Drosophila melanogaster: one gene and its partners. The protein of the gene in region 3 interacts with the protein of the main gene of each other region in a pairwise test. Each region holds a gene or a part of one and is shown on either strand. Other genes may lie near its edges.

What was found.
Region 1: the proteins of smid (region 3) and mbo interact in a two-hybrid assay, tested with the Drosophila melanogaster proteins (one large-scale study listed by BioGRID).
Region 2: the proteins of smid (region 3) and CG2975 interact in a two-hybrid assay, tested with the Drosophila melanogaster proteins (one large-scale study listed by BioGRID).

The regions. Positions count from the first base shown.
Region 1 is NT_033777.3:12,677,348-12,681,101, reverse strand, and holds the start of mbo (members only), read left to right. Parts: upstream 1-2,049; 5' UTR 2,050-2,100; coding exon 2,101-3,754. Other genes in the region: Cyp313a4 (cytochrome P450 313a4), read left to right, coding at 16-213, 267-452, 612-684, 728-854, 914-1,499, 1,567-1,727.
Region 2 is NT_033779.5:2,838,037-2,841,790, forward strand, and holds the start of CG2975 (uncharacterized protein), read left to right. Parts: upstream 1-2,087; 5' UTR 2,088-2,591; intron 2,592-2,938; 5' UTR 2,939-2,960; coding exon 2,961-3,466; intron 3,467-3,526; coding exon 3,527-3,623; intron 3,624-3,754. Other genes in the region: Cpr23B (cuticular protein 23B), read left to right, coding at 438-449, 521-1,417.
Region 3 is NT_037436.4:7,379,749-7,383,502, forward strand, and holds the start of smid (smallminded), read left to right. Parts: upstream 1-2,100; 5' UTR 2,101-2,206; coding exon 2,207-2,263; exon of another isoform or gene 2,264-2,406; intron 2,407-2,462; coding exon 2,463-2,586; intron 2,587-2,638; coding exon 2,639-2,983; intron 2,984-3,036; coding exon 3,037-3,087; intron 3,088-3,145; coding exon 3,146-3,486; intron 3,487-3,552; coding exon 3,553-3,754. Other genes in the region: SMSr (sphingomyelin synthase related), read right to left, coding at 873-1,482.

The DNA of each region.
Region 1 (3,754 bases), on a different chromosome or scaffold from region 3:
AGTGTCCGTGCGCAGATATCCTCAACGCATTCGGCTGCTTTCTCGACAAGCACGGTCCGACAATTTTCTCCTGGCTGGGGCCCATTCCCTTTATGATTGTGAGTGATCCCCAAGTGGTGCAGGATATCTTCACATCTCCCCACTGCGTCAACAAGGGCATTATTTACAAGGCAGTGGACGATGGCGCCGGAGTTGGATTATTCAGCCTGAAGGGTGTGTGTCTATGGAATCGAGTGTGGGAGTTACTTAAGTGTGGATTTGTGTAGATCCCCGCTGGAGCATCCATCGGAAGCTGCTGAATCCCGCCTTCGGCCACAAGGTGCTACTCAGCTTCCTGCCCATTTTCAACCGGGAGACGGCCCTTCTGCTCGATCAACTCGAACCACTGCAGGATGACGGCGAGAAGGATCTCATTCCACTGCTGCAGAGCTTCACCCTGGGAATTGCCACCCGTGAGTAAAGAAGAATGTGTTGTTTGTTTAAAAAAAGACTCATAAATTATGGCTATCACGTTTGTTGTTTGCATACAAAGTGGTCGAAAGCCAGAATGCATAATTCAGTTAGAAGAGTCGATCTGATATTAAATATATGATATACTTATATGAAAGCAGAAACCACCATGGGCAGCGATGTAAAGGATGAAGAGAGCTTCAGGAGCAATTCCTTGCTGGGGCGATACCAATGGTGAGTTTTGACTTGGAATCGGAATGCATCTATCCATTAATAGCATCCTGGAAACCATGACAGATATGTGCTTCTCTCCGTGGCTCAATAGCCGATTTTGCCGGCAGCTGGCTGGAAAGGAATCGCACTACTACCAGGCCAAAACTGAGATTCGTCAGTTTATTCGGAAGGTGAGCACCTCCAACTACTCCCTCCGCTTATTCACTTACGAATCTCTTAACCCCTTTAGATAATTGAGAGAAAGTTGGCCGAGGACGAAATGGGAGCACTACCTTCCATCCAGTCCAATGATAAAAACCTATTTCTAAATCTGGTCACGGATTTGATGAGACGAGGAGTGTTTACCCTGAAGAATGTTGAGGATGAGTCGAATATCATCGTTTTTGGAGCTTTTGAGACCACGGCTAATGCAGTGTACTACACCCTGATGTTGCTGGCGATGTTTCCGGAATACCAGGAGAGGGCCTTTGAGGAAATAAAGACGATATTCCCAAACACAGGAGACTTTGATGTATCCTACGCGGACACCCAGCAGATGGTGTACCTTGACCTGATCCTCAACGAATCCATGAGAGTAATACCCCCTGTTCCTGTCGTATCCCGACAAACGTCTCAGGATCTGAAGCTGTCCAATGGTATAGTGGTTCCCAAAGGGGTCCAGATCGCCATCGACATTTATCACATGCACAGAAGCAAAAAGATCTGGGGTCCGGATGCGGAGACCTTCAACCCAGATCATTTCCTCCCCCACAACATCCAGGACAAGCATCCGTACGCCTATATACCTTTTACCAAGGGCATTCGAAATTGCATAGGTAACAGAGTGATCGCTAATTTATGACCATTGTTTTAGCTATATTCTTATTATTTCCTTCTGTTTAGGTTGGAGATATGCCTTAATATCGGCGAAAGTTACATTAGCCAAGTTATTGCGGAATTATAGGTTTAAAACGAGTTTTCCCTTCGAAAATCTATACTTTGTTGAAGATATTACGATGAAGTTGAAATCTGTGCCACTGTTGGAGCTCCAAAAGAGAACTTAAATGTTTATAGCACTTAGTGATTTTAAATAGATTATTAAAAGTTGTTGAATTAATGGGTTCTGTGAATTATACCAATATTAAAAAATAATAACATCTACCTTTTATAATCTTTTATTAACTATTAATCAATTATTCCATTTTTTAAATTTATAGCATGATTTATGCTAACGTCTTTCGTTGAAAAGTTTAAGCAGCAATAATTATTAGTACATTTTCCGAAAATGTTGGTGTTAGCGTTTTTTTAACAAATTTCTTGTTTCATGAATTCGAATTAAAAAAATACTAAAAAAAAATACTTTGCGGATTTCCGAAGACTACTATCACACTAGCATTGACTTACAAGCCGGGCAACGAATTGAAGCATAAACAAACGATGTCGCTCACCGATGTCTTGGAATTGAACAAAACGGAGTTGTTCGCGAAGATTCGCAATGGGTTGCCCGTGGTGCAAAGGACTCAGAACCTGCTGGACTGCAAGGACGATCTGCTCTTTGCCTGGCACGCGAAGGACAGCTGTCTGTTGGTTCGCAACTGGCGCTCATCGCTGGCGGCAAAGGTGAATATCCAGTTCCAGACACTGATTCCATCGAGCTTGGTGAGCCTGGAGGTGGACCGCGTGCTGGCCTCCAACGAGGGCTCCCTCGTGGCACTAAGTGGACCGCGCGGCGTTGTCATAATGGAGCTGCCCCGCCGCTGGGGCCCCGATGGATACTACAAGGATGGCAAGCCAGTGATCACCTGCCGCACGTTCGGCCTGGACACTCAGCTTTTCCTAAAAAACCCGCACTTGGAAGTGCGCCAGGTCCGCTGGCATCCGCACTCCGTGTCAGACTCCACGCTGCTCGTGCTGCTCAACAACAACACGATTCGAGTGTACAATCACTCCAAGTTGCGCCACGTGTGGCAGGTGGGTCCCCCGGTGCTTCGAAGTGGGGCCAATAACTCGCTATGCGACTTTGGCGAGCTAGCCGTTGACTTTGACATCGCTCCTGCTGCAAAACCACGTGTCACTGAACCAGAAACAGCCGGCAATAACGAAACCACTTTGGATAAGAGCAACAAAACCCTTGTGGCGGCCAAATCGCTGCCGAAACAGGAGAGGATAGAGTGGCCCATGGTTGTGCTCCGCGAGAATGGAAACATCTACATTTTGATGACCGGCGTGGATTCGGAGAATACGCGCCTGCAGGGCCCCGTTACCATAACGCCACAGGCACATGACAATTATGGACTGGAGTCCTGTGCCCTAATGATTATCCCATCACTTCCGCCGACCATTGTTATAGCTGAATCCAATGGAAAGCTTCACCATGCTCTGCTTATGGAGGCGGAGGCCACTGAGCATTCTTTCAATGAGGTTGACGACTCTGTGTTGATTGAACCCGCCGAATACGTTGTACATGTACTAGAAACTGTCGAACTTGAGCTGGGAATATCTGCACCCGCAACTGGAAAAGAAGGAGGCAACTGTCCCATATACTTAAAGCGGGATTTGATCAATGAGCTTCGCTACTTTGCCTACCACAACGCAGGACTTCATGCCGTTACGGTCAGCTTTATCGCAGAGCTGCAACGTTACTTGGAAAGCGAGTCCGATGAAGATCGTCTAGAGCTGGCGGTCTCTGCAAGTGCAGAGTACATTCTGTGCACAAAATTCGATTCCAGTGAGACGGTGAACGCAGTCTTTGGACTTGCCCTATTACAAATTCCTGCCGGTATAGTTCTACTGCTGGGCAGCGGTCAGGTGATTAGCCTTAAGCTGGTAATTGATGCCCAGCTGTTGGTTACACCTAATGAGAATAAGCCAGTTGACTCGGAAGTGTCTCAGCAGGAAAGTGGGCCACCGTTTGTCGATACGATTAAATCGCTTTTGCAACGTAGTGTTAACCAGCCCATCTTGGCGGATAAACTTTCCTCGCCATCCGCCCAGGAGAGCTTCGAACTGCTTAACCAGGCAATCGAGGTGCTTCGTGAGCAGTACCTTAAACGACATGACCTTGTGCGCGCCGCATTTACACGCCACATCA
Region 2 (3,754 bases), on a different chromosome or scaffold from region 3:
ACAATGAATAAATTTAAATAGTTAATCTTAAGCTAATCGAGAAGTTAGGCAGTATTTTTGGCACTAATGAGCTGTGGTTCAAATTTTAAAAATGCTTGAATTCTTCTCCACTTTTATTGCCAACTTTTGTCCCCATTCTGATGTTTCCACGATCACACACCTACTCCATATCATCTTTTCATATGGCCTGCGCTTACGCAGCATAAAAGTGGTCACAAATTGAAAACGAAAGTGTTACCAATATTGTGTCGCGACTTTGGACAATGGTAAATCAATCAATTGAGGCGCATGACATTGTATAACTACCAACATTGGGTAATGAACTGCATGAAGTATTGGGATGAAGTATAAAAACTCCGGGCTGCTTCAATTATGACATTAGTTAGCTGACAATTTGTAGAGGCACTCCCACGAAAGGAAGATCCAAACGATTTGAGATGGCAGCTAAGGTGAGTTGTGATCAGGATGCAAGGACCAAATGGATATATTCATGATAAATACATTCAATATGTACTTGCAGTTTTTCGCCCTGCTGTCTCTGGCACTTTTGGCCACTAGCCAAGCGGAGTACAACTACAACGAGAAGGAGGCGAAGGCGGCCAACAGTGCGTCCAGTTCTGGCGAGGATTTCCTGAGCGACTACCACACGCCCAGCAACAATGCTCTGAACTCGGAGGCCACGCCCGATGGCTATGACTACGTGGCGCCCGCCAGGAATCAGTTCACCGCCGGCAGCCGTACGGCCAGTGTTCAGGCCTCCAATCTTCTCCAGAATGCGGCCAGTGCCGCCAATGCCGAATCCGTGCTGCTGCCCTCGCCGCTGCCCGTTCTCCGCCACGAGCAGAACTCGGAGGTGGTTTCATCGACGCAGCAGCAGCAGGAGCAGCAGACAGTTCAGCATCAGCAGTCGGAACCGTTGGTGGTCAGCTCCGTTCTGCGCCAGCACCAGGAGCCCGAGGTCTTTCCGCCCGCCAGCTACAGCTTCAACTATGCCGTGAACGACGCGAGCACCGGTGACATCAAGGAGCACAGCGAGACCCGGGATGGTTATGTGGTGCGCGGATTCTACAGCCTGATCGATCCCGATGGCTACAAGCGCACCGTGACCTACACGGCGGATGATGTGCATGGCTTCAATGCTGTGGTCAACCGGGTGCCCTATGCCCTTAAGGCGGTGGTTGTCCCTGTTGCCCAGGTGGCGCAGCCCACTCCATTTGTGGCTCGCGATGAGCGCTCCAAGTCGGTGGATGTCATTCGATCGTCGGGAGCGGCAGCAGGTGCCTCAGAAAATGTCCTGTCCGGTTCCGGCTCATCTTCGGGTTCCGTTTCCGGATCCGGCGTGAGCGACACATTCGCTGAGGACAGCTACGCCAATGCTCCGCGAGGGCTGGACTCCTCCGGCGGTCCCTACGCCTGAGTCCTGCTCGTGGCCTACGCACTCCTTGTATATTCCTTCATTGTGCTTCATCTATTGCTAGTTTTTTAAAAAATAAATACAAATTGTTCACCATAGCTGAATGTGTTGCCTAACTTCAGGCCTTTTTAGTTGAGATGGTTAACAAGAAGCTTGGCAAAAGCTTTTCGCTGGCATTTTGAAAATTTTGAACACAGGTGGTAAAGTGAAGCCTGTCTTGCGGAATAACTCAGGTCATTAATTTTGCGAGTGCCAAGTGTTATAGCCATTTAAGGAGCCATCGAAATGGCTTTTGGCCAATCGGTAGCTCCAAACAATGAAAGGTTAAAGTTGAGTGGACTATTTGGGAGTCAGTAACAAAAAATCATTATTTAATTATATAATTATCAATATAATTAGCTAACTATAATAGTTTGCATACATTTTTCTTTAATTTAAGCATTATTGCATTACTTGGCGAGTATGTATTCCCAAAAACTCTCTTTAACTGACTTTGATATTTGGTATACTGTATATATATTTTATTTTTCGGATTGAAAAAACGTGTATTGTATTGTACGGTCGTTAAATATCTGGCAACATGGCAACGGGAGAAGCGTTAAGGTATTTCACCAGCAACATTTTCGAGTTGGATTTAAGCCGAGTCTGTCAACTGCCGGCAAAGCGTGAAGACGTTGTTAGCTGTTTGTTTTCGAGTTGCTTTTTATCCGTATTGCCTTGGCTCTTTGTTTATTTTTTGCTTTTTTTGGGGGCATCGAGTCGCGTTCGAGCCGCGTTTATTTTTATCGCCGTTCCGCTGAGGGCTTGTGATTGATATTCTGTGCCAGTGCGCCGAGGTAAAAGAGTGAGGAACTCCAAGTATCCGTCGCATAATTGAAGCCAACGATTCGAAACGGCCCAAATGTGTTCGAAACGGCTGGAAAAAGCGTCACTTGCCATTTGCAGCTCAGCAATTGCGGATCGAATTGAACTCGGGCCAATTGAGCCAACTCCAATCGGCCGACAGCACAACACACCTGAGCAGAAAGCCAACTGAGTGTTTTCCCGAAGGTCGACCGCATCTTTACAGGCTTTCGACTCTGCGTCACTGGCTCAAGAATGTGTTAATTCGGTGATTCAAAAACAATATCAACGACAACTGGTCGGTCGGTCGCAGCAGCAAAATTTGCATAAAAAAGTAAACAAACGCGGATCGTAAAAATAAGAGAAAATAAGCAGAGATAAAATCGAAGCGAATCCAACAGTCCATACATCAATCTTTAAGCTATGAAAGTGAATACTATGAATAACGCCGAGAAAAGAGTGTTAAATATTTTTGAAAATATTTATATAGCCTTTATTGATATATAGATTGTTTATTAGGTTGTTTATTAGATTCATTTAGCAACTTAAAACCTAAAACCTTACTGTCCTGTATCAAGTGAATATCTTATAGATACTTCGATAGCTTATCAAATTGCTTATCATATTGTCATATATAAGTGTATATTATCATATACTGATAAGTGTATTTTCTCCGTAAAGCCTCAAGAGGAGCATCAGAATGATGGGAGTACGACCGAATCGAAAACGTTTGGAGCTGATGCTAATGTTGCTGATCGGTCTGGCATGGGGAATACTTCTGTCCGAGCTGATGAAACGAACTCGCTGGCAGAATCATGCGGATCGGCTGAAGGAGGAGAGCAGTCCCTTTCCGAGCAGCCAGCGGAGCAGGAACCTACGCACCCCACCCACCATTGCTCCTTCGACCACGAATCCACCGCCGGACATCCTGGCCGCGCGACTCTTCAACGAGACGCGTGTCCTGTGCATGGTGCTGACCAGTCCAAAGACGCACCACACCCGCGCCATTCACATCAAACGCACCTGGGGAAGGCGCTGCAACAAGCTGATCTTCATGAGCACCAAGGCGGACAAGGAACTGGGATCCGTGGCGCTCAATGTGAGGGAGGGCTACTCCAATTTGTGGCCCAAGACCCGGGCGGCGCTGCAGTACGTCTATAAGCACCATTTCCAGAAGTACGACTGGTTCCTCAAAGCGGACGATGACACGTAAGTGAAATATACTTTTTAATTTTTATAAATAAACTATATTTTTATTATCTCTTTCAGCTATTTTATCATGGAGAACCTGCGCGCCTTTCTACACGCCCACAATTTCAGGGAACCGGTTTATTTTGGAAACAAGTTCCGCCAGCATGTAAAAGAGGTATAATATAGAATTCGAAAAATTTTATATCTTATAGTTATAGTCATATTTAGTTTAGATTTTTTTCTTTTCTCTACATAAGGCCAGTATTTACAGCGAGTCGCCAAAAAGTGTGCTTCAAACTCCAAATC
Region 3 (3,754 bases):
CATTGTTGAGATGATTTCAGAGAACAATATTACACTTTACATACAAATGATCATTGTAATAATCGCACTAATTTTGTTGTACTCATATTTAAGATATGTATCATTTAAACCATTTATGATGCTGTATGCAAAACTTAAAATAAGAAAAAATCAAAATCAAAACACACCACAACAAACAGAAATAGAAGAAACTCCATTTCCCACACTATATCCATCAATCCCAGCCCAAGTATAGGCTTCTCTTTAAGGGAAGGGGAGTGACGTATTTGGGTGGTCCAAACCAGCCACTTCCATTATTTCAAAGAAATCAGTAATGCACTCTAGTAATTTTCCATAACGTATCCCAGCTGCGCAGCATTCGTTTATCTTTGGCAGCGCAGCCGTTCTTGTAAACATCCTAAAGCCTGACCTAAGCAGATTTGACTGCCCTCTTTCAACGCTACCTAATCTTAAGAACCCAAGAGCGAGGCTCTCCCGAAATACAAATATTGTTCAAATACTGAGGCTTCTCCTCAATCCAATTTGCATTTGATTTTTAGTCTTAAGCTGAGATCCAAAGAATAAAGTCGTGAAACTATTTCTCCTAAAAACTATTTTTTATTTCTTGGCGTTGTCCTTAGTCAACTGACGGGACATTAGTTCGACTCATAAATAAAACAACAATTTTACTATATATATACTACATAATAGTCATACCCATGGGGAAACCTCTTACTTCTCGGCTATCGCAAGGAAAGTATATGCCTGAACTGCGCTATATAGAGAAAAGCGAAAAGCTCTCGAGAATTGGCACACGACCGATAAGCCCGCCGAAGCAATCAATGGACAATTGACCTTCGTAATTGAAGGGGGGCAGGTTGTGGACCACTCACCTAAGCTCATGGCGGTCTTGAAGTATTCCGGCGGAACATAGCGTCCGCCCATGCGCAAATAGGTATCGCAATCGGACACATAGCTGGGGCATTCGGCCTGCGGACAGGGGCACGTGGATGAGGACGGTGGACCGCAGCCGGTGCTGGCTAGTGGCATGTATACCGAGTTCCCGTTCCCATGGCACTCGATGCCCAGTATTACGGATTCCGCAGAGCTGTTCTTCACCAGTAGCTGCAGCTTGAGCACGGCTATCCAGAATTTCTTGAGCTCGCCGAAGGTGAGTTTGTAGCCCAGTTTGTAGCGCATATCACGTACATCCTCCTCGGTGAGGGAGAGCAGCACCTCGCCGTCGATGGCCTCCTGGCGCAGGCAGTCGAGCAGTGTTCTCGAAAAGTGCTCCATGCAGGTGGCCCAACTGGTCACATTCTCGATGGACCACTGGGCCACGAGTAGCGGATCCACGGGCTCTGGATCTGGCGATCCATTGGTCAGGTGCTTATCTGTCGCCGCGTCGAGGTAGTGCGTCCGGGTCTCCTGATCCATTGTGACCAATCCACCGCCCTCGGAACGTGGCTGAGTCACCGGATCGCCAATTTCACCGTCGCACATCGCGCTTTCTTTTTTTTCCGTTCGATGTTCTTCTGGCTGTTTCTTATTCGTTCCAATTTTGCGATTTATCCAAAATCCAAAACAATTGTGCGGCCGAACTCAGATGGAGTGCAACATTTTTTCACTGCTGGCTGCTGTTGCTGCTGCGGCGCATAATTAACACCTCACTTATTGCGCGTCCAGCGTTTGTTGATGTAAAAGCACATTTAATTTTTGGTTTGGTTACTTGTTAAATTCAGACTACTCAGTTGTTCCGTTCAGAGAGCAAGCGAGAGAGCAGAGCGGAGTCAGCAACTATGCTGGGGGCGGGAGCGAGATAACAAGGCCGAACAGCTGACTTCGGCCATCGATAGTTTTTGGACAACGCCAACGCTATCGATGAACAGTTACTTCGGTCTTAACTGCGTGTTCACACCGAAAAATTTTCGAGAATTTCGCTCTCGTAAAAGTCAAAAGGTTTAAAACTCTTATCGTTAGCTTAATATTATTTTAAATAAAACAATTTGAGGTGTCTGGCGAGTAGAAATTATTTAAATATTAACGCTTGACTGATATAAATCTCGTTCGATATATACGAAACCATGGTGAAAATGTGGAAGAGTGGAAACGGCCTCCAAAGCGAAGATATCGAAGCCACAGCTTCGCTTCGTTAGCATTTTGCGAGCGGCAAAGTGATTTAATTGTCCTCGTGCGAATGTCTAGACAGAAGTAATCCTCGAATAATATGAAGAAAGCCAAGCCGCTGCTGCACGACCATCTAATAACGATCCGAGTAAAGAAGGTGTGTCCAAATCCGTTGTTTATATCCACAAACTAGCCAGCTGCCCGATAGCCGGTAAATTCCCATGAAAGCAGCACAAAAAAAAAAAAAAAAACACACAAAAACCCTTTGCAGGGCGGCGATTTTGGGCAAGGGAAAACAAGGTTAGGTCGCAGGCTACCCGCATCGTGTGCTAATTGCGTTCTACTTTCGATTTCAGTATCTGGAGGAGCACATCGGGGAAACCTACCTGGATGTGAAACAGATGACCAGGGAGTTGATGCAAAAGTATCCGGAATATTCACGACGCAAATTCGGACCATTCAGACAGCTGGTGCACCAAGGTAAACATGGAACATTGTGGTTATTTGTTTTTAACAAATATTTCTATTACAGCATTCTCGATCATTTCGGAAAGCTATAACTTGGACAAGGTAAGCAGTTCCGAGGAAGATTGTGTTAGCGAGGACTCCGAGCCACCACCCACGAATAGTGTGATGAACAATATGATGAACAGCCTGTATAGTCAACCAAGAAAGCCGCTGGCGCCCAAGCCAATCAGCGAGCCCATCGATATATCCAGTGGAGACGAGAACGAAGATGACTCCAATACAAAAACCACCAACGGAGATGGGGTAGCTGCTGCTGCTGCTCCTCCTCCTCCTACTCCAGCAGTGCAGGGCAGTGCTTTGAAACGCCTGATGGAGGAAGTGCCGGAGATCGCAGTGGCTGCAAAGAAAGGTGGGTTATCAATCCATTAGTCTATGACTTGGTTAAATGACATTCTTCATTAGTAGCTAAACCGAATACTATTCACGTTAGCAGTTCGGAGGCCATTCAAAAGCGTGAGTTTTTTTTTAAATACTTTTGTAAAATCAATGAAACCTAAACTTTTTGTTTTAGTGCACCAAGTTGTGGGCAACAGAGCGAAAAATCTTTCAGAGGACGCCGTTCCGCGTTCCAAAGATCACCGTAATGTGCCTGGCTTATATCAGCAGTTGCACCAAAACCAAAGTCGCGATCGCCTTCGGAAGTTCAAAAGGGATCTGGAGGTGCAGCACCCAACGGAAAGTTTCCGGGACATTGGTGGCATGGATAGCACTCTTAAGGAGTTGTGTGAAATGCTGATCCATATTAAGTCGCCGGAGTTCTACTTTCAATTGGGTCTATTGCCTTCGAGAGGTTTATTGCTTCATGGGCCGCCAGGCTGTGGCAAAACCTTTCTTGCTCGTGCCATTAGCGGGGTGAGTTTTATAAATGAACATTGAATCGTTAATTCATATATTAATCATCTCTGCTTTACGACACAGCAACTAAAAATGCCTCTAATGGAAATTCCGGCCACAGAGCTAATTGGTGGCATCTCTGGTGAGTCGGAAGAACGGATTCGCGAGGTCTTTGACCAGGCCATTGGCTACTCGCCTTGTGTGCTTTTCATCGATGAAATCGACGCCATCGGAGGAAATCGTCAGTGGGCGTCCAAGGATATGGAACGTCGCATTGTCTCGCAGC